Linked DNA regions of Callithrix jacchus. The protein of the gene in region 4 interacts with the protein of the main gene of each other region in a biochemical or structural test. Links are inferred from orthologs where the notes say so. Each region holds a gene or a part of one and is shown on either strand. Other genes may lie near its edges. The genes, in order: PDGFC, PDGFA, PDGFB and PDGFRA.

The links.
Region 1: the proteins of PDGFRA (region 4) and PDGFC form a complex in vitro, tested with the Homo sapiens proteins (2 studies listed by BioGRID and IntAct, with this or other methods). The link is inferred for Callithrix jacchus from reciprocal best matches to the Homo sapiens genes PDGFRA and PDGFC.
Region 2: the proteins of PDGFRA (region 4) and PDGFA form a complex in vitro, tested with the Homo sapiens proteins (2 studies listed by BioGRID). The link is inferred for Callithrix jacchus from reciprocal best matches to the Homo sapiens genes PDGFRA and PDGFA.
Region 3: the proteins of PDGFRA (region 4) and PDGFB form a complex in vitro, tested with the Homo sapiens proteins (3 studies listed by BioGRID). The link is inferred for Callithrix jacchus from reciprocal best matches to the Homo sapiens genes PDGFRA and PDGFB.

What each region holds. Positions count from the first base shown.
Region 1 is NC_133504.1:39,644,034-39,651,001, reverse strand, and holds the end of PDGFC (platelet-derived growth factor C), read right to left. Parts: intron 3,834-6,968; coding exon 3,717-3,833; 3' UTR 2,251-3,716; downstream 1-2,250. UniProt on the Homo sapiens protein: Growth factor that plays an essential role in the regulation of embryonic development, cell proliferation, cell migration, survival and chemotaxis. Potent mitogen and chemoattractant for cells of mesenchymal origin.
Region 2 is NC_133503.1:58,739,597-58,747,662, reverse strand, and holds the start of PDGFA (platelet-derived growth factor subunit A), read right to left. Parts: upstream 4,225-8,066; 5' UTR 4,027-4,224; coding exon of another isoform or gene 3,975-4,026; coding exon 3,903-3,974; intron 3,733-3,902; exon of another isoform or gene 3,563-3,732; coding exon of another isoform or gene 3,466-3,562; intron 2,697-3,465; exon of another isoform or gene 2,546-2,696; coding exon 2,416-2,545; intron 1,008-2,415; coding exon 915-1,007; coding exon of another isoform or gene 911-914; intron 1-910.
Region 3 is NC_133502.1:210,043,362-210,051,448, forward strand, and holds the start of PDGFB (platelet-derived growth factor subunit B), read right to left. Parts: upstream 4,099-8,087; 5' UTR 3,102-4,098; coding exon 3,039-3,101; intron 2,449-3,038; exon of another isoform or gene 2,392-2,448; intron 2,247-2,391; exon of another isoform or gene 2,132-2,246; intron 1-2,131. UniProt on the Homo sapiens protein: Growth factor that plays an essential role in the regulation of embryonic development, cell proliferation, cell migration, survival and chemotaxis. Potent mitogen for cells of mesenchymal origin.
Region 4 is NC_133504.1:142,480,599-142,488,216, forward strand, and holds part of PDGFRA (platelet-derived growth factor receptor alpha precursor), read right to left. Parts: intron 7,576-7,618; coding exon 7,460-7,575; intron 5,722-7,459; coding exon 5,595-5,721; intron 4,590-5,594; coding exon 4,396-4,589; intron 3,240-4,395; coding exon 3,145-3,239; intron 2,926-3,144; coding exon 2,793-2,925; intron 156-2,792; coding exon 51-155; intron 1-50. UniProt on the Homo sapiens protein: Tyrosine-protein kinase that acts as a cell-surface receptor for PDGFA, PDGFB and PDGFC and plays an essential role in the regulation of embryonic development, cell proliferation, survival and chemotaxis.

The DNA.
Region 1 (6,968 bases), about 100 Mb from region 4:
AAATACAGTTTTAAATTCTGAGAAAAATTAATCATACTATAGAACAAATATCTAAGACACAATGAATGATGTATTAGTTAATCTCCTTAACTTTAACAGTTATCTGAGATACCTGGGGGTCTAATGAGAAATAAAATGGGGAAAAAAATGGGAGCAAGTCATTGTAATATGACAATATTTGTGATTGAATATTCCTGGAAGCACAATGGCAGTGCTGCCAGTGGAAAGGAAGGTGGAAAAGAGCTTCACTGTACAGAAATGGAAAGGGAAACAAAAATACAAGAAATATCAAAAAGTCAAAGTCACTGAGACTTCGTAATAGATTACATGTGGGGCATGTATGGAAAACAGGATGCAAAGCAATTATTCATTGCAATGGATTGTTTGTATCCCTTCAAAGTTGTATTTGAAGCCCTAACCCCTAATGGGATGGTATTAGAAGGTGGACCCTTTGGGATGTAGTAAGGTCATGAGGGTGGAGGATTGTGAAGGAATAGCTTGTGCCCATACAAAAGGGTGCACAGAGAGTTCTCTCACCATTTTTTCTACAAAGGGAAGACATCACAGAGAGGAGAGTCTGCAATTCAGAAGATGGCCCTACCAGAATCAGACCATACTGGTGTCCCGATCTTGGATTTCCACCCTCCAATGATGAGAAATAAATTTCTGTTGTTTAAACGCTTCCCAGTCTATAGTATTTTGTTACAGCAGCCTGAACTGACCATGACTTTTCCTACTCCTTGTTATGAATGCAAAGAATGTTATAATTTTAACCGTCTTTATAATGCATAATTGAAACAGTTTAAAATATCAGAAGGGAGACTATCACGTTATCCTTTTAGAGATAATGATATTACACTGAGTGTAAAACTTGCATTTTCTGCCTTTTGTTAAACCGAATCACAAACCTAAGTCAATGCACCTGGAGACAGGGAGGCACCGAGGCTAACCAAATCATGCCAGATATTTCTCCAGTGTAGCTTCTCGTTACTTTGGTCTTTGCACCTTTTCCACGTGCACATGAGAATTATTAGATGAGGGAGGGGATGTAGAAATGAGTTGCAGAAATGAAAAGTGTGGACATGAACACCTGCCTTATGATATTTAAGAATTGTTTAAGAAACGTCATTTGGCAGCCCATGACTCGAGGACAAAGGCATGAAACACACAGATATCATATACAAAGCAGAGTGTGGTCAATACAGTCAATACTTACTGGACTTCTCAGAAATTGGGTCACACGTGCTATTTATGTATTTTTTTCCTTTTAGTAAAATACACAGGATCTATGAGTAAGTGATTATAAAGTGGTTAGTCCTCACATGGTAACCACTCACCAACCAGCAACAGTGTGAGGACTGCTACCTTTACAGTATCTTCTGGCTGTCAACATTGTATAAGTAAACAAAAAATAAATATTAAAAAAGGGAAAAGAGATTGGAAACACTGGATTAAACATAGTTAAACAGGCCATTTACTAAGACTTAGTGGTCTTTACTATGCTAATGAAAGTTGTAAATTGCCAACTACTTTGCATATTCCATGGAGCTATATCTAGTTGGCCTCTATATGGATAGCACAAAACTAGGAAAAGGTAAGCAAGTAAGGCAGAACACATAGGCTCGTTTTGTTCCTTTGTTTTTCATGTAGTTGGGGGCAGGGTAGACCTGCAAGGTGTGAAAGCACAGGAGAAGGGTGGTTGCCTGAGGAGTCGGATGAAGACAGATGGCCTTGGACACTAGACATCTCTGGCAAATTGAAAGGCTGAGGAAATGATGCTGAAGATACCAGCTCTGAATAAGAATCTATGTCTGGAATTGAGGAACCACACCTTGATGTGTGCTATGTAAAATAATCTATACACCAAATCAATTTACGCTCACCCTATTTAGTAGTGGCCAGTGACAATGAAAACAAGAGTGGAAGCTGCCAAGCTTCTTTTTTCCAGTTTTATACTACCATATAACCTATCACTAAGTATTTCATAAACCATACAACAACTTTCAAGTCAGGTGAAATTTAAATTACCAGAAATCTGTATTAAGACACAATGAGAAAAATAAAACCACTGCTCAAAGGCATTGGAAACAAGAAGCAGAGAAAGGCTCACAGAAATACTCCATTTTTTGTCCTTTGAATTGACATATGCTTTTGCATAATGAAAATAATAACACAATACTTTATTGCTTTCATTTTCTCAGAGTCCAAGAGGTAAATCTTGAGTGCACACACACACATACACACACTTAATTTTCTCCCCCAAATAGCCACATTCTTTTATTTGATGATTCAATACATTTTTAATTCAAATAGTCACCACATAACCTAGTTACGATATTAAGCATTTTACAAGCAAAATAGTTTACTGATTTTCAATTGCCAAAGAGTACAATAAGTGAAATGGTTAAAGGTGTACTTCTGTACATAAAAATATCCATGTATTTATATAAGTGTATGGAACAGAGTGCAAGGTCATAAAACTGTTACATCACAATAAATAGGATGTGTTCCTACAGCATAGCACAGCACGCCTTGCTGGGAAGCGGCCAAGTCTTTTTCAAGGTGCTTAATGTTCTTCTGAGCTAGGCTCAGATTTCCCCAAAAAAGGAATAGGTTAGTAATGGTTGGATCTGAATGTCTACTTTCATAAGTTGCTTTTTATTTTCATCTCCAATAACAGGAATGGAAGATATCATAATTTAAGTATTTTCAAAAAGTCTTTGCAACTTACCAATTCTATTGATTTCCAATTCAGTTTTTGAAAATGCAGAATAACTCTAGCACCATACGAGAATGAAATACATGTATTTTTGTCAGAGCAACAATATTTTATATCATCTTTGTTCCTCTGGCTATAACAATTCTGTTTAGAAAAAATTTATCAAGCTAAAAATAGTTGATCTAAGTTGTCATAAAAAAGAATATTAAATACCTTTGGTAAAAATAGATATTATTTAACAAGATTAGAAAAGCCAACAGTTATAATGTCAAAAGGAGAATATAAAAATGTACACAATAACACAAATAAACTGACTTGGAGATAAAGTGAAGATAAGGCCACTCTTGTTTTCAGGTTTGTCTCTTCCAAACCATGAATTTAGTTCTCTTCTTCTAAATGGCAGAAATTTTAATAAGAAATATGAAAAATCCAGTCTTTCCTATCAGCATGACACAAGTTTAATTAATAGCAACATAGTTCCTTTTTAAAAACTAGGTTTGTAGTAAGTACATAGAATGTTCTCATTTACTTATGTGAATATGAGAAAAAAATCCAGATTTTATATAATTTTAGGTCCAGAACATGGAGCTTTAGAGTTAAGCAAGACAACAGAATCAGGTGCTCACTTGCACAGTTTTTTCCTCTACTGACATTACCCTAAGCCATATCAAAACATCTGAAATACAGAACGCAGCTAGTGGAATAGGTACACGGTAACTCTGTAACTAGCTGGTGATCTATTTAATACAACATTTAATTTTCTTTCCACGATTGAAGAACTTTTCTCCTGTCCTTTGGGCCTCCTCTCAAAAGAGCTGTTGCACAACTCCTAATTCTGTTTGATGACTCCTCTTTCAGAATGCACTGTAAATCCTGAAGATGAAAGGTCCTTGAAGCAAACAAATGAGATTAAGGATGGAGATAACATGTAAGTTCTCTAACAGAATCAGCCACTGCTCTGCACAGCTCTGGGCAAGAGCTGCTGGTGGTCATGTGGTTATCCTCCTGTGCTCCCTCTGCATACACAGTCACACTGCTCATGGTGCTCCATGGCCACATCGGTGAGAGATTTATGCAATCCCTTGACACCCGTCTTTGGTCTCAACTGCAGGACCTGAAAGGGAACAATAGTAAGCCACCTTTAAAAATCAATGTCTATGACTTGCTTTTATAAACAAGTAATGTTTTATAAAAGAATCTTGGGGCCCAACAATGACTCAAATTTTAATTTTTCCAAGAGGAGGCATTATGGAAACACTTCCCTACCAAAAAAAAAATAATTCATAACTTATCATCAGCATTTCAGGTAAGGACAGACATTCTAATGCCAACAATTTGGAAGCATTCTGTCTCCGAATAAGGAACAGTACTTAAATGGAAAGACTCACCATGCAATAGTTATTTTCTTTATCTGACTATATTAGAGAGAATTTCACCTTCAGTATTTTGGAACTACCAATACACAATTCGTTTTTCTGTTTGTTGCTTTCTTTCACTTATTCATTGATTCACACACTTAACAAATATTTATACTTGATGCAATACACTCAAGTACAGAAATTCTGTGGAAAGAAACATGATCACTCCACAGCTGAGTTTGCTCAATTATGCCACTCATTAATTTTCTTGGCTACACTTCAAGTCCTCTATAAACTTGATGAGATGGATTAGATGTACTTCATAGACATCAGCTCCAGTCTCAGCTAACTTCCTGCAGCTGGATCCTACTGTGCAGTGAGAAGAGGTTTGGCAATAATAACAATAATGCCTCTATTAAATAAACTCATTTGCAGTTTGGACTGTCAAGGGTTTTAGTAAAAATACAGCAAGATTGACACTTACAGTACACATATTTCCCCTTAAAACTATGACAAAAAGATATAGTTGTGCATTCTATAAAATATTATTTGAAGTATTTGATTTTGCTACCTATTTAATGTATTACATTTTATTTCTTATGAGAGAAACAACAAAGTTTAAGAAATTGTATTTTGTTTGGATTATGAACAAAGGCTAGAGAACAAAATAATATGAAATTTTCTAGCATCTCTCCTTTTTGGATATGAGATAGATAATGTCATAAAGCAACTTCTAAAAGCTATTGTTCCTGAAAATGTGCATTAATCCAAAAAGGCACAAGTCAAGTCTTATGACTGTTCTATTTAGAGACTTAAAAGAAAAACAGAGAATGCGTACCTCGCTGGAGTATGTGGTAATATCAGAGGTTAATTAGCTAACATTTTTTGAATGCTTACTGGGTGCCAGGCACAATAATAATGTTTTTACATACTTTAACTCAAAAGAATCCTATGAAGTAATTTACATTACCCCTATTTTACACATGAGTGAACAGAGGCTTAGAGAGAATAAGTGACACCGACTTTATTTGTACTTAGGCCAAAGATGAATTATTAAATTAGAGTGATGGATAATAATTTTATAGACTCAGAATATTACTGCTCAAACATTCTATTTATTTAGTAACTTTCTTCCTGAAGAGATAAACTTCAAAGTCTTGTAATAACTATTAGAAATTGTAAACTTTTAAAGTAGAAGTGGTTTTCTCATTTATTTCACAATTCTAGAATAAAACTTACTTAAACTTTATTTTTTTAATGTGATATTTAACTCAGTGATTACTGAGTACTATTTTATGTTCGTACCGATGTACTATTTTTCAACAATTTAGGGTGGGATCAAGCTAGCTACATTTCAGATACTGGCACTATTCCTTATCACAGTCTTGCTCCAAACTGTTTCTGGAATGAGGCTGGGTGGGTAAGATAAATTAAAATATTGGCAAAGCCAGTGTCTTTAATTCCTATATCTACCTGTATGCATTTTCCATTCAGCAAGGAAAAAAATTACTATGTAAGGTAAAGGTTAGAGAGGCTACCATACACAGTCCTAGCACTCAGAAAGGCCAAGCTGCAATCCTTGCTTCCTCTAGCATACATATGCCAAGATGCATTTGCTGAATCAAAGTCCCCTGTCTTTGTCTGCTGATGCTCATGGAGATTTACATAGAGTAGAAGAATCTCCTAATGTTCTAGTAAGTTTAGTCTTAGATAAGAAATTCTAATGGTGAAGGACACAATTAATGTTCTTCTTTTTAATTCGTTTTGAAAGTTTTGACTTGGAAGAGAAAAGTAGACTTGGAAAATGATTAGCAGGTTCCAGAAAATATTAAAAAGGAAAAGGACATAAATTATGCCACCAGAAAAGAAACAGGACAGAAGTTCATCTCAGAAAATTTAGAGGTTGAAATTAAAATAATTCCATGAAAAGTAATGTCCAGGGAGAAGCTGAGTCAGAGATTATGGAAGATACTAGATCAGACACAGAGAACCAGCAAAGGACAAGTGCTTATGGACCACTGCTCAACACTTTCAAACAAAATGACCTTAAACTTCTGAGAACCACAGAGCACTGGGAACAGAGACTCGGTATTAGAATAAGACAATTGAATGGTATACCTCTTTAGGTCTGCTTGTTAATAATAGCCTGTAAGACTATTATTTCATAAAAAATTAAATATGTAAAAATATAGAGAAGATGAAAATGATTACGCAAAGAACAGAGAAAATGGAACAAATACTATTGTCAGAGTGTCCTGTAGACCTTTTGGCCAGAACACCTTTCCTCCTTCAAGGCAAAATTTATAAAATCTTTCCTGATCATTTACTATAATCAAAGAATAAGACTAGGCATGGTGAAAAAGTAAAGATGAGTGAGACAGTCGTAAATATATATTAAGGGCATGAAAATTGCTAGGCCTAATTCTAAGTGTTTTGTAAATATCAACCCACTAAATCCTCACAGTAAAGTATGATGGTTGGAGACTCACCTTACAGATGAGGAATTTAGGCACAAGGGCTCAGCAGTTTGCTCAAAGTCACACAACAAACAAATGTTATGTTCTAATCTGGGATGTCTAGCTTTGGAGTTTGTGTTCTCAAGCATTACATTGTAATGTGACTTTTGTTTTCCTTACTTCTCAATTCAATAGAAACAAAGAAAAATAGACGATAATTTTGAAATGGTAACAGTTTTCTAATAGAGTATCTTTAAAGCCCTATAGATGCACCAAAGATGCTAGAACTGGTAGGCCACCAGCATTTCAAGGAAGATATGACATCTAAGCTTATATGTATATAAAGTTCTTGACTTGCTTTTCTGAAAATTCTTATTTGAGACTTAGAAAAATCATTATGAAAATATGTTTATTTGGCTAAAATGTCTTCCCACA
Region 2 (8,066 bases), on a different chromosome or scaffold from region 4:
AAAGCTCAGATTGCAGTTCCCCAGCCAAGTGTGCATTTTGAAAAGGGCGCCACAAGGACCTGGAAGAAAGACCTCGCCTTCTGGGAAGGGGCTACCTAGCCCCGAGGGGGCGGGCGGCCACCCTACACCCCCGCCCCTCCCACCCAACGTGGTCCACCGGGGTCCCCCGGGTGTGAGAAGCCCCTTTAACCCTTGCCAACCCGGGTCGAGTCCAGCTCTGCAGCTGACATTCGCCCCAAAACTCTGTCCTTGCAAATAAACTGTTTTCTTTAGTGGCTCGGCCTCAGGGCCTGAGGGTGAGACGCAAAAATAGCCCCCAGGCAGCAGATGCGTCCAAGTCCCGGCTTTTTATTAGGTAGTGAACATAGAAAGACACCGGCCTCCCGAAGCCACAAAGGCCTAGCCCTGCGGCAAGAACGCCGCACCAGCTCCCAGGGATTACAAAGGGGCCGGGCCCTGATCGGGGGCGGACTCCGCCCGCCCCTGGGTCAGGTAGCCGCGCCTGCCCCTGGGGCCTCGCTCCGCGGGCTGCCCGCCTGGCGCACTAGCCAGGGCTCCGCGCCCAGGGCCTGGGCGGGCTACCGACGCTCCTCCGGCCCCAGGGCAGGCACGGGGCCGGCACACCTGGCGAGGGCGCCGAGGCTGAACTTTTTGTGACACACGCGGCGTTTTCCTTCAAGGCGAAAACAATCCCTGGGCGAGCGAGCAGCCCTCGACCGCGACTGGGAGAGAAAGTGGCGATTGAAAGAGAAACTCCTGACTCATCCGCCTGGGCGCTTAGGGCCGGGGATTGGATTCTGACCTTTCGGTGCGCTGTGCGGCGCCCCTTCCGGCCCCAGCTCGGGGCGCACGGGACGCACAGGCCGCCCGCCCCGCACCTCCCCGCGCCGAGGGAAGGGGCGCGATTTACCTACGGAGTCTATCTCCAGGAGTCGCTGGAGGTCCCGGATGCTGTGGATCTGACTGTGCGCCAGCCTCTCGATCACCTCGCGGGGGATCTCGGCTTCCTGCAAGCAGAGACCACAGGGTCAGCGCCCGCGGCCCAGGGCCCGAGGAGACCCCGCGAGCGCCGGCCGCAGCCCTGGCCCCAGACCCCAGGGAGCCCTCGCCCCGGCCCTGGAACCAGAAGCCGGGGGTGGGGCTGGAAGAAGACCACGAATTCTCCACCCCTGTCCATGGTCTGCCCTTGGCAAAATCAAAGTCCCCCCCGCTTTACATTTTCAAACAAAAGCCCCGCACTCCGGCCCCTCCGCCCGGGGTGTCAGTTACAGAAGATCTGAGGGCAGCTAGGCGGCCGGGAGTTTCTGATTTAAGAGTGAGATCAACATCTAGAAAGATCAAGTTAAAATGCGTCACGGATCAGCGAGAGTCACGGCAGCCCTCACACTTTAATCCAGGCAGGGCTTAAATTTCACGCCCGGAATCCCGGGCCGAAGCCGCGGAGAGGTCTCTCCGTCTCACAGACACACGCGCGCGCGCAGACACACGCGCGCACACACATTCACTCACACACTCGCCCCACCCCGGGCTCCGGCCCAGCCGCGGCCCTAGCGCCGACTGAGATGCCTAAATCCAGCCTGCGGGCGGCTGGGAGAAGCCTTCAGGGAGAGCGAGGGTTAAACTTCCACCTCGCCCAGCTCCGGGCCCCGCCGAGACCACCCTCACCTTTGGCCTCACCCAATTCCCTTCTTGATTTTTAAGGAGAGTCGGGGGTCGCTGGGGAGCCTGAAGCACTAAGTTCCCACGCCGGGGGCTGTGGAAAGTCATTCATCACAGCAAAGCTCCCGGGGATGGGGATGGGGATGGGGGGGCGGGGACGCCGCGGTGGGAGGGTGCGGGCGCCAGGTCCGGCCCCAGCTCTCCTCGCTCAGCCACCTGTAAGCAGGCCCGGGCGGGCGGGACTGCGTCGCCCCTGAGCCCCGCCGGGCTCGGGCACCCGGACCCGGGGGCTGCGGCTCGGCGCTGCCCACCTTTACCGGCCAGGGGCTTCCGCAGCAGCCGCCCCTACCTGTTTATCGGGCGCCCTTCCCTCCTCCCCAGGCACCGCCGGCTCACACACACAGACACACACACCCCCTTCCCCGCTCCCCACACCCCGCTGCCGCAGCGCCCGCAGAGCCCCAGCTCCCCTTCTCCGGAGAGGCCCCAGCGCCCCCCGAAGTTTCTCCCCACTCGTCCACCTCGCTGATCCCCGGTTCCCCCCGAGGCAGAGCGACGCAACACGCTGGAAACTCCCCACACACTTAGGTATGGCAGAAAATAGAACCCAGTTGGGAAAATTTAAACACGGACCACCCTAGCAGAAACCGAAATGCTCTCTGCAGAGCCCGTGTCGTCCCAGCCGGCGGGCGGGCGGGCTCCGGGGGTGTGCGCCGGGGAGCCGGCGCAGAGACTGGGCGCGGGGGCGGCACCCACCTCGGCCAGAGCATGGGCGAGGTATCCGCAGCCGAGGAGCAGCAGGCAAGCCCAGGTCCTCATCGCGTCCCGAGGCGCTGGCGGCTCGGCGGGGAGGCGAGGCCGCGGGGCGGGCGCTCCAGCCGGGCTCCTGTGGCGGCGAAATTCAGTACCATCCCTTAGGGAGCGCGGCCCGGAGGAGGGTGGCGCGGGGAGCACGGAGCTGGCAGAGCGCGCCCGGCGCGAGCAGTGAGTGCGGAGAGGCAGGCAGCGCCAGCCAGGAGGAGGAGGAGGAACGGAGTGCGCGCCCGCCGCGCGGGGAGCCTCCTGGGCCGCCGGGTAGGGGGTGGGGACGGAAGGGGCGGAGGACGGGGGCTGGGCTTCTTCCTTGGTGCGTTCCCGGTGCTGGCCGCCGCCGCGCTCGCTCCCCGGCGCTGGCTTCAGGAGCGACCCGGCCGGTAATTCTGAATATTTGCGGGCATCGGTCCCCGAGAAGAACTCTGGAGGGAGGCTGGGGCCGCCGCCGCGCCACCGATCACCTGTCTGGACGCCCGGCCCTGGCTACGGGCTCGCGCTCTCCCTGAGGGCTGCCAGCGGCCCTGCGCGTCCACCGCCGACCCCGCGCTCGCCTCCGGCCTCCTCTCGCAACCGCCGCCCGGCCGGGCACAACACGGCCCAGCACGGCGCGGTCGGGCGGCCTGCGTGCGCCCCTCCGCGGCGCGCCCTCGGCTCCGCCGCCGCGCTCCGCCCTCCGCCCGCCGGGGCCGGGCAGCGCCCGCGGCCGAGCTGCCTGGCAGCCGCCACCGGTCCGGGGCCTCGCTGCGCCGCCCGCGCGGGCCTGAGGGCGGGCGCAGGGCCCAGCCGGCGCCTCCGCCGCTGCAGCGGCCGGGAGAGGAGGAGGAGGAGGAGGAGGCGCAGGCAGGCCCGGCTCGCCGGAGTTGGGCGGGCTCCGCAAGGCGCGCGTGTGGAGCCGGCCGGCGGCGGAGAGAGGGTTATAGCTCCGCCGCCGCGCCCCTCCCCCGCCCCCGCCCCCCCCCCGCCTCCCCCGGATTCCGGGCCCCGGACCCGCACCTCGGAAGCACGCGGGGTTCGTGCGGACCCGGCAGGGCTTGGGCGCCGCCGCCGCGGCAGGGCGTACACACGCGCTAGCGCAGGCAGCTAAATCCATCAAAGCCCCGCGCCCAGCTCCGCGCCGGGGCTCCGCGCCCCTCCCTCAATCTTGCCCACCCTCCAGTGCCAGCTGCAATCCTGCGGCACCGGGTGGGGAGGGAGGAGGCCGCCGCAGAAGCGCCGCCGTCGCCGGCTCGCCTCTCTCGGGCCCCAGCGGCGGCAGCCGGCAGCGCCCAGAGCTGCTGCGCCAAAAAGGGCGAGAGAGCCGGCCCCCGCCCCCGCCCCGGCGCTCCGGCCGCTCTCCACGGTTGGGATCCAGGGCCCCAGCCTTCCCCTCTCCATAAAAGGAGGGGGAGTCAGCCGTTGGGGAAGGCGGGGGACGGGTTTGGGACACTCACCTGGCGGCCGCCACGCGCCCCCGCCCAGGATCCGAAGCCCGGGGCTTCTGAATGAGGACCCTCCACCCACATTTCCACTTGGGAACGAGCCCAGGTCGGGGGAAGGGGCTGCAGCCCGTCTCATCCCCACCCTGGGACCCCGCGCCCCCCAGACCCCTATTCCCGCGCCAAAGGCAGGGCCACGCTCTGAGCTGTGAAGTCGAGGGGTTGGAAGAAAAAGGAGGCACCGGTGAGGGTCCCCGGGTTCTGAGCCTCCGGCGTCGGGATCCGCGGGACTCGCAGAGCGCCACCTCCGGCCGAGGCGCAGCTCAGAGCGCTATGCGTGGGAGGAACGCGCGCCGAGGCCGAGGTCTGAGCGTGGCTAGACGGCTGCACGCCGAAAAAGGGCGAGTGCGCCAGGGCGGGATGATTTCGCCTCCCTAGACCAGGTGGGATTGGACCCGAACTCCGGGTCTAGATGCCCGTCAGTGCCCTGCCGGAGGGTCTACGCGCCCTGGTACCGGGTTCAGCGCGGAGGTGGGGGGGGGGGAAGCGCGCAGTGCAGACCCTCAAGCGAGACGGTCTAGGCCTCTGGAGACTAGGAGACGCTCCCGTGGGTGGGCAGCCGAGGAGAATTACGCCCGCCCCAGCCGTCACCCCCAATTCCGTGGATTAAGCCCCCGCCCCCGCCGCGGCCGCCCTTCCTCTAGACAAAGGCGGTTAAGGCGCAGGCCCGCGGGCGGTCTTTCATCCCCAGCTCCGCCGATTCTAGCATTTCAAAGGCCGAGTCCGGAGGGCGCTTCGGGGGCTCTCGCCTTCCCCCAGATATGTGGCAGGCGGGGCCTCTCTCACTGCTCCCAGTGAGTCGCGTCTACTTACGCCCTGCCACACACCTGCAGGCCCCCTCCCAGGTTTCTCCCTCCCCTGGCCGCAGCCCCGGCCCGAGACCCCCTCTGGGTAGTCAGGACCACGCGGGAGCCGGACACGTTGAGAAGCACCTGAAAGCCAAGTCTCGTCCCTCCAGGGGGAACTTGTGCGGCTCGGGAGGGGACGCCCACTGGATGGCTTCTGGGAGGAGCCAGACCCGGCCTCATTCCTCGGTCAGTTATTCCGGAGTCGCACGCACCCTGTCCTGCTAGGTCTCGGACCCCTTGTGGGCAGAGGGGGGCCGAAAACACCTTTTTGGGGTAGAAGACTTAGGTGACGGTGTGGAAAGCAAGGAGGAAGGTCGCGTTGTATTGGGGATGGAGGACCCGTCCCAGCTGGCTGGGTCCTGGTGTTTCTCGCCGCCTCTTGGGGGTCTAGATGGGTGCTTCCCTCGGCTCCCCAGCCCGTCCTGGAGCTACGGGTGTGCATAGCTCGAGTTTAGGGCCACCTGAGGACGTGGAAGCGGCGCTGGAGCGAGGCGGGGGCTGGGGTGGGGCGTGGGTGCATCACCCGCGGGACGCAGAGCTTAGGCGAAAGCGGTGCAGGCATCTCTCTAATCGCCGGCCGCTATTAAAAATAAAACCGCGACCCGTCGCCATGGTGACCACAACAACAGCGGCCGTGCGAGGGAGGGGAAAACTTATGCAGCCGCGCGACAGCCGCCTTCGGGGGAGACTTGGGGCACTGCGTGCCCCAGAGCCCGCAGCCCACACGGCATGGGACAGGGATCCCCTATCAGTCCCGCCCCGTTCTCCTCCGGGTCCCCAGAAAAAAACAAGGAGACATGGACCCCCACAGGCTTTTTTCGGGGGCTGGGCGCTGAAATCGCAGGACTGACTTAACCAAGAGGTCACTGGCTTGGATGAAACCCGCGCCCACGTGGAACCCCCTCCCCGGCCTTCGTTTCCATTCACACTCCCAGCGTCCTCATTTCAGCCCCGGGAGAGGGAGGCGGAGGGAGGAGGTGGGTTTCGGGTGCCCGGCCCAGGAGCGGACGGTGCGACCCGAGCCCGACCGGCGGGTTTTGTGCGCCGAGGCTGCAGCACCTGCCCCGCCCGCCCTGAGCGCTCCTTGCAGATGGGGGCGGTCACATGCTTCTTTCTGGCTGGGAATCGAGTTTCGCTTCCAGCCGCTATTAGTCGGTTCACACAGTTCACTGCAAACATTTGATAATGAGGCTAAATATACTCCTGCGTCGGAGGAGGCGTGGGCGGCCGCGGCCTGGGCGCGTGGGTACTGCGCTCTGGGCTCCGCGGAGCGTCCCCGCCCAGGCCCGGGAGACAGAGGCGCCGACCCGGGGTAGCTGGCTTTTTGCGGGAAGGAGACGCGCCCCGAGCGCCTCCCCAGAAACACTCCCACCCCGGGCTGCGGCGCGCGTCTAGGAGTCCGTGGGCGCCCCAAGGTGTGCCCGGGGCCCCTGGTGGAAGTGGCGGCGCTGCGGGGAGGGGGTGCGGGGAGCTGCTGGTGGGAGGCGCGGTGCACCTGGCGGCCTGGGATGTCCGGTCGCCCCCGGAGCCGGTGCTTCCTGCCTTTCCCGGCGCGCCCCGACGTGCCCGCGGGTCCATAATTACCGTGAGTCAGGTGACCCAAATAGGCCGAGCGAGGGGGCCTGTCGCGCAGCCGGGGCGGGTGGCCGGACGTGTGCCCGTGACTGGTTCCCTTCCGCCCTCCCCGGGACCGACCCTGGCACCCAGGAAGGGCGGGAAGAGCCTTGGCCATTTCTCAGGATAGGGGGCTGCAGAGGTAATAGGCTGTCGCCGAGCCCAACCCTTCTCCCTCGTACGCACTGAGGCTGCGCGTCCGGGGCCGTCCCGGCTTGGACGCAGAGCTATTCCTGTCGTAATTTAGTAGTAGTAGTAATGGCTGACATTTACTGCGACTTCAATTGCACCAAGTGCTAAGCTATTTCCTTGTATAATTTCATGGACACTCACATATCAACGCTAAGCGCATACTTGCTGCCTCTCATATTACCGAGTCCCGAGCAGCAGGGCTCGGCACCCCAGGGCACCTCTGCAACCTCGATGAATAGATAGGATCCTCAATTCTCAGGGGCATTTATAACCGGAGTGGACAGGCAGGAACAGGAATGACGCTGTGGACACTCGGGAACCACGTAGCAGCCAACACCGCCCCCCATCCCAGTTCCCTCTGCTCTCTGTCCCTTGACATTGGCCTTGATGAGATCTGTCCCTAGACTGCCCTGGGTGTCCGTTCCCTCCTCTGAAACATGGGAAGCCGACAGCATCACCACGCACAGCTGTGTCCTCTGTCAGGAAACCTTCCTTCCACTCACCCGCCCAGGAAAAGCTGCACTGGGATGCCCTGGGTTAGGACACTCCTGGCCACCTGTGTGCCCCTGGGGTGGGGGTGGGAGGGCCAGCTGGGCGCCCGAATCCAGGCCTCTGTCCCCCGTGCCAGAGCAGATTTCAGAACAATTTGTAATGACGAAACCCCACATTCCCCTTTATCTCTGGGCAAGGCTTTCTTCCTTCTAGGCAATTAATCCAAAAGCAACCCAGCCGTGGGCTGGACTCCTTGAAGATCAAAACTGTCCAGCGCGGGCGTTAATTAAGTCATTATCTCAGGCCCCCAGTGACTAGGGATCAGGCCTTTCCAGTTCACACTCCCCAGAAAGGGAGATAACCCACCCCACCCTCCCGCCAGTAGGGTGAGATGGCTCTCTCTCGGTGTCGTTTTAACTCCCTATTAAATCATTTTATTTTCTTTTAAATATACAATAGAACTGATGTTGAAAATAGCACATGAGCCCACAATCATTTTTTTAACATTCTGTGAATGAAGACATGTATGAAAGGACACTTCGTGGCTTCAAGAAATGAAAGCGCAAAGTCTAGCTAAACCAGGGCCATTCTGTCCAGGAGGGACGGCCACGAGTGGCCGCTGGGCACGTGAGACATGGCAGGTCCAAACTGCACAGTGGCAGTGTAGTAAGTTCAGGACACATGCCAGCTTTAGAAGGCTGAGTAAAGCATGCAAAATTTCTCATTGGGAATGATTGTATGAATTGCAGGTTGAAATAGCATTTTGGATATAAGGAGTTAAATAAACATGATTACAATTAATTTCAATATTGGCCTCCCAGAGGCTCCTCTTGCTCCTGTGGGCCACAGCCAGCTCAGAGGCTTGCTCTAGGAAATACCAACACGTTCTTTCAACACACGTCTATGTGCCAGGCACTGTGCTAAGTGCTGAGGACACAGCACTGAGACCAGGCCCTCAGGGAGCTCTCAGTCT
Region 3 (8,087 bases), on a different chromosome or scaffold from region 4:
TGCCACAGAAGAGGCTCCTCAATGCTGGGAGGGGAAGACAAGATTGGAGAGGTACTTATGAGGCCATTGTAAACATCTCAGCGTTCCTGCTCAATCAGTCTGTCTCTCTGTCACACACACACACACACACACACACACACACTTCCTGGCTCTTGCACCAGACCCTCCAAATTCTGTTTGACCTGCTCTTGCACACCTCCAGGGCTCTGGGATTCCAGCAGTCGGTCTCCTGCACCCTAGGGCCATTAGCAAACCCAGAGGAAGCTGGGTGGCGAAGCGCTGTGGAGCCCTTCACTCTTTTCCAGAGAAGGGTGCTGAGGCCAGACGTGTCATGACAGCGGGACTCGCCCTCCTGGAAACCAGCTCAGCGGGTGGCGATGGCACCTCACAGGCCTCAGCAGACCCTCCGCCCAGCCCTGCCTCAGGGCTGCCTGCCCTCCGCTGAAAGCTTGGTCCAAGCATGACCAGGAGGTGGCCAAGGCCTCCTCCACCAGCAGGCCTGCCTCGACTCTCCCAGCACTGGCCATCACAGCTCCTTCCCAGACTGGCCCCCAAATGCTGTGATCCCCATGCAGGTCTCCTCCCCTAGGGCTAGCCTGCGGCTTACTCGGGCTTAGCAGCAAAGTGCTTCATAAACCGCAAAGCACCACATACACAGTGCCTGTGGCCATGTGTTCAAGAATGCTGTGACAAAAGTGAGGAGAAAGGCAGTTTCTGTGCGGCAGCCTCCACCCCAGATACACGAGCCTGCAGAGCTGTGGGAAAGGAGGAGGAGGTGCTGGACAGAGCTGGAAATGGTAAGGGGAGGCTGGGGAAACATCCAGCTGTCAGCAGCAGCCTCCCAGGGGCACGCTGGGATCAGCCAAGAGAATGAAGCAGACAGGGGTGGGAGCCTTCTCCGCAGCTGCCCAGGCCAGGTCCCTCCAGCCTTGCACGTTGAAATGGCTTATGCGAGGCGGGAATCGGTCTGGACACCTCAGTGCCCCTCAGAGTCACATCACCACCATTTTCCGCCACGAGGAGGTGGTTGAAAAAAAAGCAGTTGTACATGGGTAAGGTTTGAGGGGCTGACCTGACAAGGCAAAAAACAGTGGGTGCCGTGGAGCTGGGGCCTCATGGGAGGTTCTTCCTCCCTCACAGGACGCCAGGAAGGAAATGGAGCTACTACAGAGGTGGTGAGGTGCCGGTGCCCACGGGGGACCCACCTGTTGCTCGGGGGCGAGCACCAGGCGCTGGGTGCACGGGGGTCCATGCGTGCCTGTGTACGTGCGTGGGTGTACGCGCACGTGTGTTTAGACAGCGCGTGCAGGGGCCGTGCGTGCGTTTGTGTGCGGTGCGCGCGCGTGTGTCCCGCGTGTGCACGGGCGTGGCGGCGGCGGGCGCGCGACCTGGCCGCGGTAGTGCGTGCCCGTCGCTCTGCGCGCCCGCCCGCCGGAGCGCAGCATCGCCTCCGGCCAGGAGTGTGCATGCGTGGGGTGAGTGAGCGAGTCGGGGGCCCGGGCGGGGTGGGCTGCGGAGAGCAGCCGCGGGGCGCCGCCGTTCCCAGGACGCCCTGGCACCGGGCCCAGCCCCCAGGTCCCACGGCGAGGCGAGGCGGCAGCTGGGGCCGGCCGGCCACCCCCTCCCCAACAGCTGGCCGCGGCCCGGGGGGCTGCGGGAGAGGAGGGGAGGGGGTGTCGGGAGGGGCCTACAGGCGGCCAGGCCGAGACCCGCGTCCTCCCTCCCGGGTGCCGGCCGCTGAGGACCGCCGCGGAAGGGCGGGGCCCCCGGGCGGGCAGCCTGCGGCCCTCGAGGAGCCCCGAGAACAAAAGGAGACGGCGACGGCTCCTCCGTGGTCAAAACAACCTGCGCTGGCGGCGGCCCAACGGCGGGCCGCGGACTCCGAGCCCTCTGCTTTAACCCCTTCGCCGCCGCTGCCTCCTTCCTGCTCCTGGCAGGAGGCTGCAGGGGCCGACCCCCCGGGAGCCGGAGAGGTGCGGGCGAGGTGGGGACTCCTGGCCGCGGCCGGGCGGGGGTGGGACGGGACCCAGGCACGCCGCGCTCCCGGCTGCCCTCTCCTCCCCTTCACTGCGCGCGTCCTCCCGCCCCGCCCCCTTTCCCACCTGGATTCCGGGGAGACTTGCCAACTCACCGCTACGTGAGGCTGGGAGGGGTGGGGACGGCTCCGACCCCAGCGCTCCCGCAGATGTTTTTATACCCTATCTCCTGTGCAGCTAGGCTTTTGCAGGCGGCGCGCTCCGCACCCTGCATGCGGGGGAGAGAGGTGCTTCCTCTCGCAGGGCGCGGGCACAGGTACGGCGAGGCCTCAGGCACACAGCGCCCCGGGGGCTGGATTCCTTCAGAGCCCCTTATTCCTTCAGCTCTTCCCCTACCCGAGTGCCCGAAACCTACCTGCGCCTCTGTCCCTCCGTCTCGCCCTCTAGCTCTCTCTCTCCCGGTTACCCACCCCCCAGTCCCCGCGCTCGAGACACAAGCTGCTTCTAGACAGTGCTTTGGGGCCGGGCATGCCCTGCGCGTGCCGGAGGGCGCCCACCCGGACCCCCACCGGGAGCCAGGGTGGGACCTGAACCCCGCCAGAGATCGGCGTGGATGGCACTTGTGCGCAAGCTTGCACCTCCTGGGCAAGCCGGTGGCAGGACAGAGCCTAAGCCGAGGCTGGCGCCGAAGTGGGTTCGGGAGGACGCGCTGTCTTCTGCACCCGGGGCGCCACCCCACCCCCTCTTCCCCGGCCGGGAACGGGCTTGTTCTCGGGTTCCCGAGGGGTGGGGGGCAGGGCCACACACACCCTCCCCCGACGCGGAATGGCTTAGGGAGCCAGGTTCGCCCGCCGGTTGGAAAGAAAACCACCGCTGTTGCCTTCCCTTAGAGCCTGTCACCCGCGGACCTCGCTCCCAGCCCGAGGAGGTCACCCAGAGCCCGGCGTCAGGCTCGCGGGCTGCAAGGGTCCAAAGTTCACTGCAGGGAGAGGAGGGGGCGGTGAGAAGGTGGGGGCGAAGGTAATGAATGAAGAACTAGCCCCAGCCGCCGTGGCAACTCACCTCGGCGCTGACCAGACGCAGGTAGCAGCAGAGAGACAGGAAGAGCGCCCAGCAGCGATTCATGCCGACTCCGGGCCCGGCCCCGCGGGGCCCCGGACGCGTAAACCGAGCGCGCCGCCCCCGCGGCCAGGGTGGGGGGCTGGGGAGGGGGGTGGGCTCGGCTCGGGTCCGCGGCGATCAGGCGCTCAGGCCGCTGCAGCCGCGGCTCACCCGCATGGCCCCCGGGCGCCGCTGCCCCCGGCCCCGGCTCCGTTGCTGGAGGGCAGGGGAGGACCTGGGCACAGGACCTGGGTCCGAGGCCGCTACCTGGGCGGATCCCGAGCCCGAGTGAGCATCCACGGCCGGGGGGCTGCGTCGCGAACCAGCCGAGGCGTCTAGCCGTGTGGGGGCGCCCAGGGGACTCCAACCTCCAAGAGGAAAAGGAACACGGCAGTCGATGGTTCGTCTTCACTCGCAGGCTAAAGGCGTTTTCCTCTGCCCGCCGGCTTAGCTTTTTTGCAACATTTTCTGGAAAGGCCCCAAAAATAGGAAAGCGCAGGGCTGGGCACCTCAAGGCCCAAGTCTCCCCAAAAAAACTTTTTCCAAAGTTGGCTTTGCAAGGGCGGCTCGAGCACCCGGGCAGGGAGAGGTGCAAACTCCCGCCCGGGCCGGGTGGGGGGGCGGGAGCGTGTGCGCCCTGGCGCGGGGCCCGGGCGGCGGGCACGGCTGCTCCGCGCGCGCGGCGTGCCCGCTCTGCGCTCGGCCGGGTTCGGCCGACAGGTGGACGCGGCGCGAGTCCGTCGGTCCGTCTGCCTGCCTGCTCGCTCGCCGCTCTGGGCGTCCTCTGCGGGCTGCGGGCTGCGGCTGCTCCGGTTTTCTCTTTGCAAGGAGGCTGGAGGGTGGGCTTTTTTTTTTTTCTTTTTGCGCGTGTATGTATGTGTGTGCGCGCAAAATATCTCTATCTCGGGAATCAAAAATGGGCGCTGGCGGCCAGAGGGGAGCCCTAGGGAGGCAGCGGGGGAGGCTGCGGGCGCGCTGGGAGGCAGGCGGGCCGCTCCCGGCTGCAGGAGGAGAAGTTGCCACCCTTTCAGCTGTTCCGGCCTTTATAAAGAGAAGGAGAGTGCGAGAGGTGGGTGGAGACAGCCTTTCCTCTTCTGGCCCGGAGTCAGAGCCAGGAGAGGGGGGCGGGAGCTGGGGGAGGGCTTGAGGCCAGGGCGGGGCGCTTAGGGGGTCTCTGAGAGCCGAGCAGCCCCTTCGTCCATGAATCTGGCCCCAGGGAAAGAAGAACTAGGGGCGACCCACCGTCCCGCCCCTCAGCACAGTGACCATGGATAGGTTAGGAGCCCACGTGGTCCAGGGGGATGTCTCCAGAGCCAAGGCCAGGAGTCCAAGCTCCCCTCCAGGACCAGACGTTTCCACCCTGGCACAGGCGTGGCGGGGAGGGACTCAGGCTTTGCAGCCTGGGAGCCTGAATTCAGGTCCTGCCCTGGCACTTGGGTGACCTTGGGCTAGTCACTTTCCTCCGTTTCCCTCCATCTAGCCTCAACGCGAGGATGGGGCTATTTTGAGGACTAAATGCCAGCAAGGGCAAAAGGCACCACAAGGTGAACCCACAAAACCAGGCAGCCAGCGCCCTTCAGCTGCAAGCTGGGTCCGAGTCTCCTCCTCCTCGCCGGTTGCCTGGCACAACAGGCCCTGCCAGCATTGGCTGAATTTGAATGTGTTGAACTGCAAAGTCACACAATCTCCCACAGCCTTGCGGCATCTTCCCAGGGCAACCAACAGGATCCTCCCGCCAGTCACCCTGCTGTTCACTATCTCCCTCAGCCCCGGGTTCGAGGCCCAGAGCCCACCCACCCACAACCAGCCTTCACACAGTTACCGCCTTCCGCCCCCAGTCAGGGAGCTGCTATGTCCCTGCCTTCAGCAGTCACACTGTCTCAGTCACAGTCACACGTACTCACGCTGGGCCCAGCACCCTCCTCGGGACATGCAGGCTCCTGCATCACCCAGCCTCCGGGCTTTCCGGCCCCCTTACCTCCTCTGCTTACACAGTCTCTGTCTGTCATCCATCCTTCCTTTTGGGGTGCCAGCCTGCTTCTCATACAGGAGCACACTGAGAGTCACACCTGCAGTCTCTTCCTAAACTGTCTTCATGGACCTGGACATGGTGGAACAGAGGAGGGAGGACATCTCAGGTGGTCTTTACAGACCACTACAGGCACCCGCCCACTGCTGACTGCTACTCAGCGGCATGGCACAGTGGCAGAGAGGCAGCCTGAGGACACATCACCTTGGTTCAAATCCTGGAGTGGCCACTCGCTGGACAAGTGTCTCTGGGAAGGTTTTTTAACCTCTCAGCACCTCAGTGTCCTCCTTTATAAACTGGAGCTGGGTGTGGTGACACACACCTGTAGTCCTAGCTACTTGGGAGGCTTTGAGCCCAGGAGTTTGAGGCTGCAGTGAGCCGTGATTGTGCCACTGCACTCCAGCCTAGGCAACAGAGCAAGACCCTATCTCTAAAAAAATAAATAAATCTAGAATTGGAAGGGGCGAGGGATATCAGAGAGGCATGGCAAAATTTTAGGGGTAATGGAAATGTTTGTCATTTTTGATGGTGGTGATGGGATTGTGGGTGGATACGTACATCAGAACAAAATGTGTGCACTTTATTGTACCTCAGGACATACGTAGAGAATTTTCACCCACCTCGTAGAGTGGTCTGGAGGCGCCCATGAGATCCTCCATGTGGTGCTCAGCAGAACACCTCAGCAGGAAGCTAGTGTGTGGCTTCTTCCATGCGGCCTTGGAGTTGACTGGTGGCCCCACACTGCTCCAGGCCCTGGGGAGACAGGAGTGAACCAACCTAATTCAGGCCCCTATCTTTGAAGAGCCCCGTTGAGAAGGACAACCAGATGTATAAACAGATAAATTAGGAGACAAGGTGACAAGGGAGGTGGGGCAAGGGGAGGAGGAGATTATCCCTAAACACTGTATTTGAAATCTAAGGTCTAACAACTCAGAGATAAAAACCCTGTTCCACCAGATAGCTGGGTCATCTTGACCTTGAACTTCTGTGTCCTGCTCTATAAATAGAATGGTAGCAGCTACCATGAGTAGTGAGCTAAGGCGGTAGGTAGTGTTTTCCTTACTCTACCTGCAGCCTCTCCATACTCCTGTGAGATGTGTCATTCCTATCTTACAGATGGGGAAACGGAAGCACAGAGAGGCCAAGAAACTTTTGTTCAAGGTCACACAGCCCATAAGTGGTAGGGCCAGGTCTTGAATCTGAGCAGACCAGCTACAGAGCCCACATGCTGAAACCACCGTGCTGTGCTGTTTTCTGGTGGGTGATGCTGATGACAACGATGACACTTTTGACACTGGGCTTGCTTCGGTGCACACTACATGCATTCATGTATGGGAACATGCTCTGCCGGCTAAAAAGTAAATGCTGGACCTGTATGAACTCTGACTTAGGTACAAGTTGGGGGAGAGGGAAGGCTGCTAGGAGCAGCAGCGTGGAACACCTACTGTGTGCGGCCCCTGGGTGAAGCCCTGAGAAATGGAATAGGAAGGAGACCCAGCCTTGGCACTCAGGGACTTCCCAGGCTCTGAGCAAGACAGACGCAAACCATGGCAATGCAGGTGCCAGTACATGGGTTAGAAGTGGCAGCAGAGGGCACAGCAGAGGTGGCAGGGACTGCACGCCAGCCGGGCCTGAGTGCTGTGCTAAAATCCTCTTTTTTGTACCCTCTCCTTGCAGGGGAGCAGACTCTAAAGAACACCGCATCGGGGCCGTGGCTCACGCCTGCATTCCCAGCAATTTGGGAGGCTGAGGCCAGAGAATCACTTGCAGCCATAAGTCCGAGACCAGCCAGAGCAACATAGCAAGACCTCATCTCTTTAAAAAAAGTACCAAAAAAAAAAAAAAAAAAAAAGTTGAATGTGGCCCCAGCTACTCAGGATGCTGAGGCAGGAGGGAGAACCCCTTTAGCCCAGGAGTTCAAGACTTCAGTGAGCCGAGATCGCACCACTGCCCTCCAGCCTGGGTGACAGAGTGAGACTCCATCTCTAAAAACGTTGGGTTTTTTTTTTTGAGATGAAGTCCTGCTGGACTGCAGTGACACCATCTTGGCTCACTGCAACCTCTGCCTCCCAGGTTCAAATGATTCTCCTGCCTCAGCCTCCTGAGTAGCTGGGACTACAGGCACACCCAGCTAATTTTTATATTTTTAGTAGAGACAGGTTCACCATGTTGGCCAGGCTGGTCTTGAACTCCTGACCTCGAGTGATCTGCCCCCACCCTCAGCCTCCCAAAGTGCTGGGATTACAGGCGTGAGCCACCATGCCCAGCCTAAAAATATTCTTTTAATAAATAAAGAACACCTGCTCCTCTTCCTCCTGCCAGGCTGGGCATAGCAGGCACCTCCTCCAGAAGGCCCGCCAGTCTTGGCACTTGTCCCAGGCTCCCGCAGCGTGCACCCCAGGCCTCATCATGGCCCGATCGTCAGTCTAGCACTAGACTGAGCCCAGCGTGCTCCAGCCTCCCGCCAGCTCCCAGCATACAGTGGCTGTTCAAGAGGGGCCTGCTTGCTGAAGGAATGAATAAATTATTAAGACCCTGTCTGTTTCTCTCTCTGAGTCCTGACCAGTTATTGCAGAGATGCCAGGCCCTTCCTAAAGGGTGGAAAGAGTTGGGGGCTTGTAGCATGAGCCTCCAAACTTGGCAGCACGAGGCTCCTGAGGGGCTCCGCTTCCTGAGGTGTCAGAACTGGGGAGGGTCTGCAGTTCTGGGGAGGCCACCCTGAATGCACGTGGTCTCATCAACCTCAGGAGCACTTGAATGGGAGAACCAGGAAGGCTCCCGCCCATCTTCACATTCGGGCCACTGAGGAATCAGTTTCTCCAGCAGAGCAAGGGGTGGGGGGCCCCACACCCCCATAACTCTCCACTCTAAGACAGGTCAGAGCCAAGGAAAAAAAGTGGCCACAGCCCTGGGGGATGGGGGCACTGCCCAAGGTTAGACTGTGTGCTCGGTGCTCCAAGCCCTCGTCCATGAAGAGCATC
Region 4 (7,618 bases):
ATTCCCTTAATATCACCGTGTTCATAACATCCCGAGGAAGGAGCACTTACGCTTTAACATCTTCACGGCAACCTTCATGACCGGCTGGGATCGGCTTAATCCATAGGCTGTTCCTTCAACCACCTTCCCAAACGCTCCAGACCCCAACACCCGACCTGTGGGCAGGCAGAATCATTAACGCCCAAGAACTCCAGAAGCCTCTTCAGCGTTCTGCACGGAAGCCAGCTCGGCGGGTGGACAGCTGGGCGGGAGGGCGTCTTTCCCGTTTGGAGTAAGCATAATGACTCCTCTAAGTCACGGTGTCAAAAACAGAATTGAGCCCACAGGGAAGGAAATTAGCATAATTGCTTTTGTCAAATAACATTTGCAAAGGAAAGAAAACACAGACGGAGAAAGGAGGGTGCATCCCTCCCCGGTGTGAACCCGCTGTCTACCGGCTCCCCTGCGTGCAGGGCCAGCCCCTGGGATCCTCCGCCTTCAGGGGCTCTCACCCAGATCCCCTGGTTCTCTCTCCTTCTGTTTTCCACATGCAAACAGGGGCATCTTTTGTCTTAGTAAATTCTTAGTCACTGGAAATATTTCAGTATTCAAAATATAACTGATTCCAAGGAGTGACTAAGTAAAAACTTCAGGCTGGGCTCAAGGCTCCCTGTTTGTTAGGAAGGCTACTCCACCAGGAACTAACCGGGCCGGAGAGCACACTGAAGCTGCTGTCCCCACCCTGGAAGGGTTCACAGTCTTCGAGAACTGTTTCCCAAGGTGTCAGTCTCATCATGGATAGGCAAGCCAGGGAAAGACTCGGCTCATCAAAGACACTAACAGCCAATACTGCCTCTTACTGCATGCTTGTGTTACTGGAAATTGTACCTCGAAAGGTATTGCTTCGCCAGCAATGTATCTTGGTATAATGGGAATAGTGCCTTTCTCCCCACATTTTACTATTTTTTTTTTTTTTTTTTTTTTGAGACAGAGTTTCGCTTTTGTTGCCTAGGCTGGAGTGCAATGGTACGATTTCAGCTCACTGCAACCTCCGCCTCCCAGGTTCAAGCGATTCTCCTGCCTCAGCCTCCCGAGTAGCTGGGGTTAGAGGCATGCGCTACCATGCCAGTCTAATTTTGTATGTTTTAGTAGAGACAGGGTTTCTCCATGTTGGTCAGGCTGGTCTCAAACTCCCGACCTCAGATGATCCGCCCACCTTGGCTTCCCAAAGTGCTGGGGTTACAGGCAGGAGCCACCATGCCTGGCCTATTTTACCACTTTTTAACTCCCTAAGCTCCTCATCCCTTTTTGGGAAATAGGCAAGAAAATAAAGAATGCTTAGATATAAGTATTTGAAATTGGGATCAGTTCTTATAACCACACATGGATTCTCCTTGCCCACTGACTAGACAGAGCGGATTTATCAAGAGAGGAGAACTGCAATAGAAAAAGAGTTCAATTCACACAAAGCCAGCTGTACAGGAGACTGGAATCTTATTATTACTCAAATCAGTGTCTCTGAAAACTGAGGGAATGGGGTTTTTAAGGATGATTTTGTGGGTAGAGAGTGAAATGGGAGTGCTGATTGGTTGGGTCAAAGATGAAATCATAGGTAGCTGACCCTGGCCTCTTGAGCTGAGTCAGTTCCTAGTTACAGGCCACAAGATCAGATGAGACCTGGGTGGTGTCAGCTGGTGCACTGAAATACAGGGTCTCTAAAATATCTCAAGCACTGACCTCAGGTTTTACAGCAGTGATTCTTAAACCATCTTTTCTAATCTTGTAGTTAATTTGTTAGTCTTGCAAAGGTGGTCTAGTTCCCAGGCAAGAAGAGGGTTTGTTTGGGCAAAGGGCTGTTCTTGTCTTCCTATCAAAGTCAAACTATAAACCAAGTTCCTCTCAAAGTCGGTTCGGCCTATGCCCAGGAAGGAACGAGGACAGCTTGGAAGCTAAAGCAAGATGGAGTTGATTGGATCGTATCTCATTCACTGTCATAATTTCCTCAGTTACAATTTTTGCAAAGGTGATTTCACTCTGGTGACTTGCTTGATTTCTCAGTTGAAGTAACTCTCTAAGAAGACTTAAACTCTTCTGTATTTTGGAATGAGACAGGTGGATAATTAAAACCTGCATTTGGCATTCGTTAACATATATACTGTTAGATCATTCATCTAACACAACCTCTACCTCTACTTTCATTTGTCTGTGTCTTGTTTTCATTCATTCGGAATGTGATTTAAAAAAGAAATATTCCCTTGGACTAAAGCTTCACATACTTGGTCTCAGCCCAGGATTGAAATATTTGAAATGCTTGTGATAAGTTGGCTTCCTTATTTTTACACATTTTGCCTTAAAATGTACCTATATTTTTATATTCCATATTCCAAATATATAAAAAAGAATATCTAATGCATCTTCAGAATGTACAGAATCAAAATACATTTTTGCAGTTGTCCTCATTCATTTTTCAACTGCTCGTTTTTAGTCACAGAAATTCATCTCATTTTCTGTTTGTGTCATTTCTAAAGCAAAGCAATTTTGGTGGGTATCTTTGCCAGCCCTCTTCATATTCTCTTCTCCCTTTGTAAAATTTTCTTTAACCATAATTTGTTATGAAATGAGATTTAAAAAAAATCATTGCAATGATCCAATTAACTCATTGTCAAGACGGAAATATATTTCCGAAAGCAAATTTCTATTGCTTAGTTCTTACTAAGCACGAGCTCAGATCTCTATTCTGCCAAGGCCTCTAAATTGTAAAGCTGTGTGCAAGGGAAAAGGGAGTCTTGGGCGGTCACCCCCATGGAACTTACCAAGCACTAGTCCATCTCTTGGAAACTCCCATCTTGAGTCATAAGGCAGCTGCATCGGGTCCACGTAAATATATTCATGTCCATCAGGGCTGATTGATTCAATGACCCTCCAGCGAATTTCATACCTCGGTTTCTATAAATGACCAGGACAGGTAACTGGTGAGTTACCACAAGTTCCAGTGCACTAGAGCTTCACTGAAACAGCACAGAGACTGGACAAAGTAGAGTCCGACAACGAACACTCCACATATAAATACTGAGCCCCTTCTCTGTGCCAAGCACTGAACTTGGTTGCTATTCTTCTCGTTACCATTGGCTTCAAAGATCTTTAGTTTTATGAGAAAATACCTACCTGTTTCCAAATGACGACCAGAACAATGAGTGAGATGATCACAATCACCAACAGCACCAGGACCGCGGCAGCCACCGTGAGTTCAGAACGCAGGGCTAGGTGACAAGAGAGAGAGGCACAATGGAGAGTTTCCTCAAGGACACACGGGCGGCAACAAGGTGGTGTGGCTGTCTGAGCCAGGAATCTCTCATGCTGGTGGGGAAGTGTGAGGGCTGCCTGGTTCATTTTAGGGATAGGCAGTACCATCTCTCAAACATCTACACCCAGGAAACTACATCAACTCTTTCCTTATACAAGAAGAGGACAAAATTCAATCAGGAAAACTCAGTATTTTTTCTCCAAAGTTGTTCCAATAGTAACCTTGTGGACAGAATTAGAATAGGAATCATAAAGATGGATAAATGCAGGCTGGGCACGGTGGCTCACACCTGTAATCTCAGCACTTTGGGAGACTGAGGTGGGTGGATCACAGGTCAGGAGTTCAAGACCAGCCTGGCCAGCATAGTGAAATCCTGTCTCGACTAAAAATGAAAAAAAAAAAAAAAAAATTAGCTGGGTGTGGTGTTATGCACCTATAGTCCCAGCTACTCAGAAAGCTGAGGCAGGAAAATCACTTGAACCTGGGAGGCGGAGGTTGCAGTGAGCCAAGCCTATGCCATTGCACTCCAGCCTGGGTGACAGAGTGAAACTCCATATAAAAAAAAGATGGATAAATGCAACTGACAGTTACTATATGGGCAGAAACTTCTACTTCATATACTTTAATATAAAGCTTATTTTTTAAGTTGAATTTTGCTTATATTGCTTTTGTCTTCATCTTCCCTTTAAGGAGCAATGAGACAGAAGATCCTTCTTTCCCACACTCCATCCACATACACAGACATTCAAAGTAGAGACTGTAAATTATTAGACAAGCCAAATTATTAGACAAATTTATTAGATAAACAAAATTATTAGACAAGTAAAATGTTGAGGGGCCTTTGCAAGATGTGGTTTTGGATCTGAATCTAAAACAAAGTCCCAAGTAGAGGTTGCAGTAAGCCAAGATCACGCCACTGCACTCCAGACTGGGCGACAGAGCAAGACTCTCAAAAAATAAAGCAAAGTCCCAGATGCCTTTAACGGCATTCATAACTGAATTTCATATAGGACCTTCATTCCTATATGACCCTATCTGAGATTCAAGGTTCCATGGGATGGTGGGGAGACAGGGCTCAGTTGATGAGTCGTCCTGACTGTTGAGCAACTCACTGGGAGCTACGAGCTTCAGCTCTCGGTTCTCAGCACCAAGGAGATTCTTAGCCAGGCATCGCACCGCAATGGTCTCCTCCACCTTGGCGAAAGTCACACGGCCCTCCACAGTACTCCTGCCTCGGGGATGGACCTCCGTGATGATGTTTGAGACATTGTTGGCCAAAATTGTCCAGGAAGTTTCGTTATTACATCTAAAGAGAAAAAGGGCCTAAGTATAGGGCCAATTCCCGAGAGTCATGGCGATGAGTGGAGCCATGGGAACTCTCTAAGATGGTAAGAGGTTGGGTGGGACCTGGTCTACATTTCGGGGCACTATACGCTGACTTATTTCACATGTGAATGAACATTAAAACTTGTTTGCATATGCTCCAGAGGGAATAACTCACACATGAACAACTGAAAGCTAACTGTTTACTGAGCAGGTAGGGATAAACAAGTTTAATAAAATATGATGACCAGTCCCCAGTCTTGAACCTATGAGCAAACTGAACAATACAATTTCAACCATATTTAATAATCTCAATCTCTCACCCCTTCAAAATGGCCTGCAGCCCTCCCTTCTCACCACCCACACTGGGAAGAGCCCCTAAGGTGTCACTACGGTTGTGGCAATCCTCGGATTGAGTTATAAGACCTAGATTCCTGCTCCACACTGGAATCTTCTAGAAACGACATCCAATCCATCCTTAGCCCTAGGTTAAGATAAGGGGTCTCCGTCTAGAGGAAGAAGCAACTGAGGCTTCTCAACACAACCAGTTACCATGGATAAAGTGTAAACACAGTGCTTATGTGCCCATTTCAGAAGTCTGAGGACTGGGGGAGGGAGGAAGGACTGGCGAATTAACCTGCCAAACAGCAGGTGGGCAGATGAGGGACTAAGCAGTCACATTTATGTTTACATGCAGTTCAGCCACCAAACAAAGTTCACCAAATAAGAAATCTGAGCCAGGGTAGTAGAAATCTCCTTAGGACAGCGGTTCTTAAAATTCATCTTTTTTTCAAATTGGAGACACTTTGAACGTCTAATGAAAGCCATAGACCTTCTCTTTATAGCTATTCGTGACAAAAGATACACACCCTGAAGCTATCACACCCAAAACCCTATCTTACAGTCAATAAGTAAAATGTATTTGACATCATTTGCGTCAAGGGAGAAAGATTCTGGCCACAAAAGAAGACACGTCTATTTTCCATACTTCTTAATATCCTTGCAAATCATCCACTCAATATCAGGAAGCGGCGTGCCTTCAGCCATGCACCTCACAGTTTGTCCCCCAGTTGAGCCATGGTGATCATCAACCAAGTCCAGAATGGATGAAGGAACTGCAAGAGGCAGAAAGAAGTCAGAATGGAAGAGTTCCTGTCCCAGTACATGTGGGACGACAAGGTGGAATATGAGTTCACGACTCATCCACATGCCATTCAAACTACTCCAGTGGGGCTGAAAGCAGTTGTACAAGTAACACTCCAGTGTAGACAGACACACTTGGTTAGCAGCATTTTCACAGTTTTGGGGTTTTGAGATTTATGTCTGTGATGTTTTAAACCTGGAGTGAAGAAAGTGGGAAGCCCATGGTCATGATGGCTCACAGCTGTAGCCCCAGCTACTTGGGATGCTGAGGTGGAAGAGACTCATTTGAACCTAGGAGTTTGAGGCAACCATGGGCAACATGGTGAGAAGAAAGAAAGAAGGGAATGAAAAGAGAAGAAAAAAGAGAGCAGAGGGAAAAGAAAGGAAGAAAGAAAAGGAAAGGAACAGAAGAAAGAAAGAGAAAGAAAAGAAAGAAAGCAGAGAGAAAGAGAACAAAAGGCGGGCAGGCAGGAAGGAAGAGAGGAAGGTAGGGATGGAGGGAGGGAAGGAGGGAAGGAAAAGAAAAGAATGAGGGAAGGAAGGAAGGAAGTAGGGAGGTAGGCAGGGAGGGAGAGAATCAGGGAGGGAGGGAAAGTCCCTGGTTACTTGGCTTGAAAGGCAAGGAGGTTCTTAACATTATATTATAGCTTAGGATTCAATTAATGGATTCAGCTAAAGTATAATCTAAAGCAGCATTTACCAAAATGCATCTGTGGTATATTATACTTTGGGGTTTTGTTTGTTTTTTGAGAAAAAGTCTCACTCTGTCACCCAGGCTGGAGTGTAGTGGTGCGATCTCTGCTCACTGCAACCTCCACCTCCCAGGTTCAAGCGACTCTCCTGCCTCAGCCTTCTGAGTAGCTGAAACTACAGGCACCTTTCATCAAGCCCAACTAATTTTTGTATTTTTAGTAGAGACGGGGTTTCACCATGTTGGTCTCAATCTCCTGACCTCGTGATCCACCCATCTCAGCCTCCCAAAGTGCTGGGATTACAAGTGTGAGCCACCACACCCAGCCTGTTATTAGGTTTTAAAGATTCTTCTCTATATCTGTGGTGAAATAAATTAGAGATACGATGATACTTGTATCACAGGTTTTACTGCAAGGATCACATAAGCACACCTCAAACAGCACCTGGCACATGGCTGGGACTCAGGATAGTTGCTGAGCCTGAATGTAAACAGACTTGGGCCTTCCATTCTGGTAGGGACCACTGTACAATGTCTTCAAGGAAAATTTGTAGCAAAACTCTCCAGAACAATCTAAGGTCATCTGAACCAAAAAGTATCACTTCTCTCTTCTCAGATCTGGAGGTGCCATATTGAGAAGCGGGTGCCAAGCAAGTTGGTGGAGGCCGGATGCAGTGGCTCGCACCAGTAATCCCAGCACTTTGAGAGGCCAAAGTGGGAGGATAGCTTGAACCCAGGAGACCAGTCTGGGCAACATGGCAAGACCCTATATCTCTACATAAATAAAGAAAGCTAGTGGAGCCTAGGGATTCCCCACCTATTCTGGAGTAATCCAGAACCTCCCAGAAATACCTGAATTCATGAGTCCAGCAAAGGTATCCCTGATACGTGACATCTACAGACACTGCTCCTCCCTTAAGTGTTGCTTTTCTTCTATGACTTGGGAGAAAAGTGCCAGACTTTCCTTGGAAGACACTCATCTATACAGCTAGCATTATCTTTACACTCCCTTTACATACCTTGAGTTAACAGTTCAAAAGTATAGCTCTTCACATCATCTTCATTTTGAACTACAATAGTGTAATGGCCACTGTCTTCTTCCTTAGCACGGATTAGCTTTAATTGGCTTCGATACCTTTTAAAAAGAGGATTTTGTTTCAACAAGCAGTAGCTAAGTA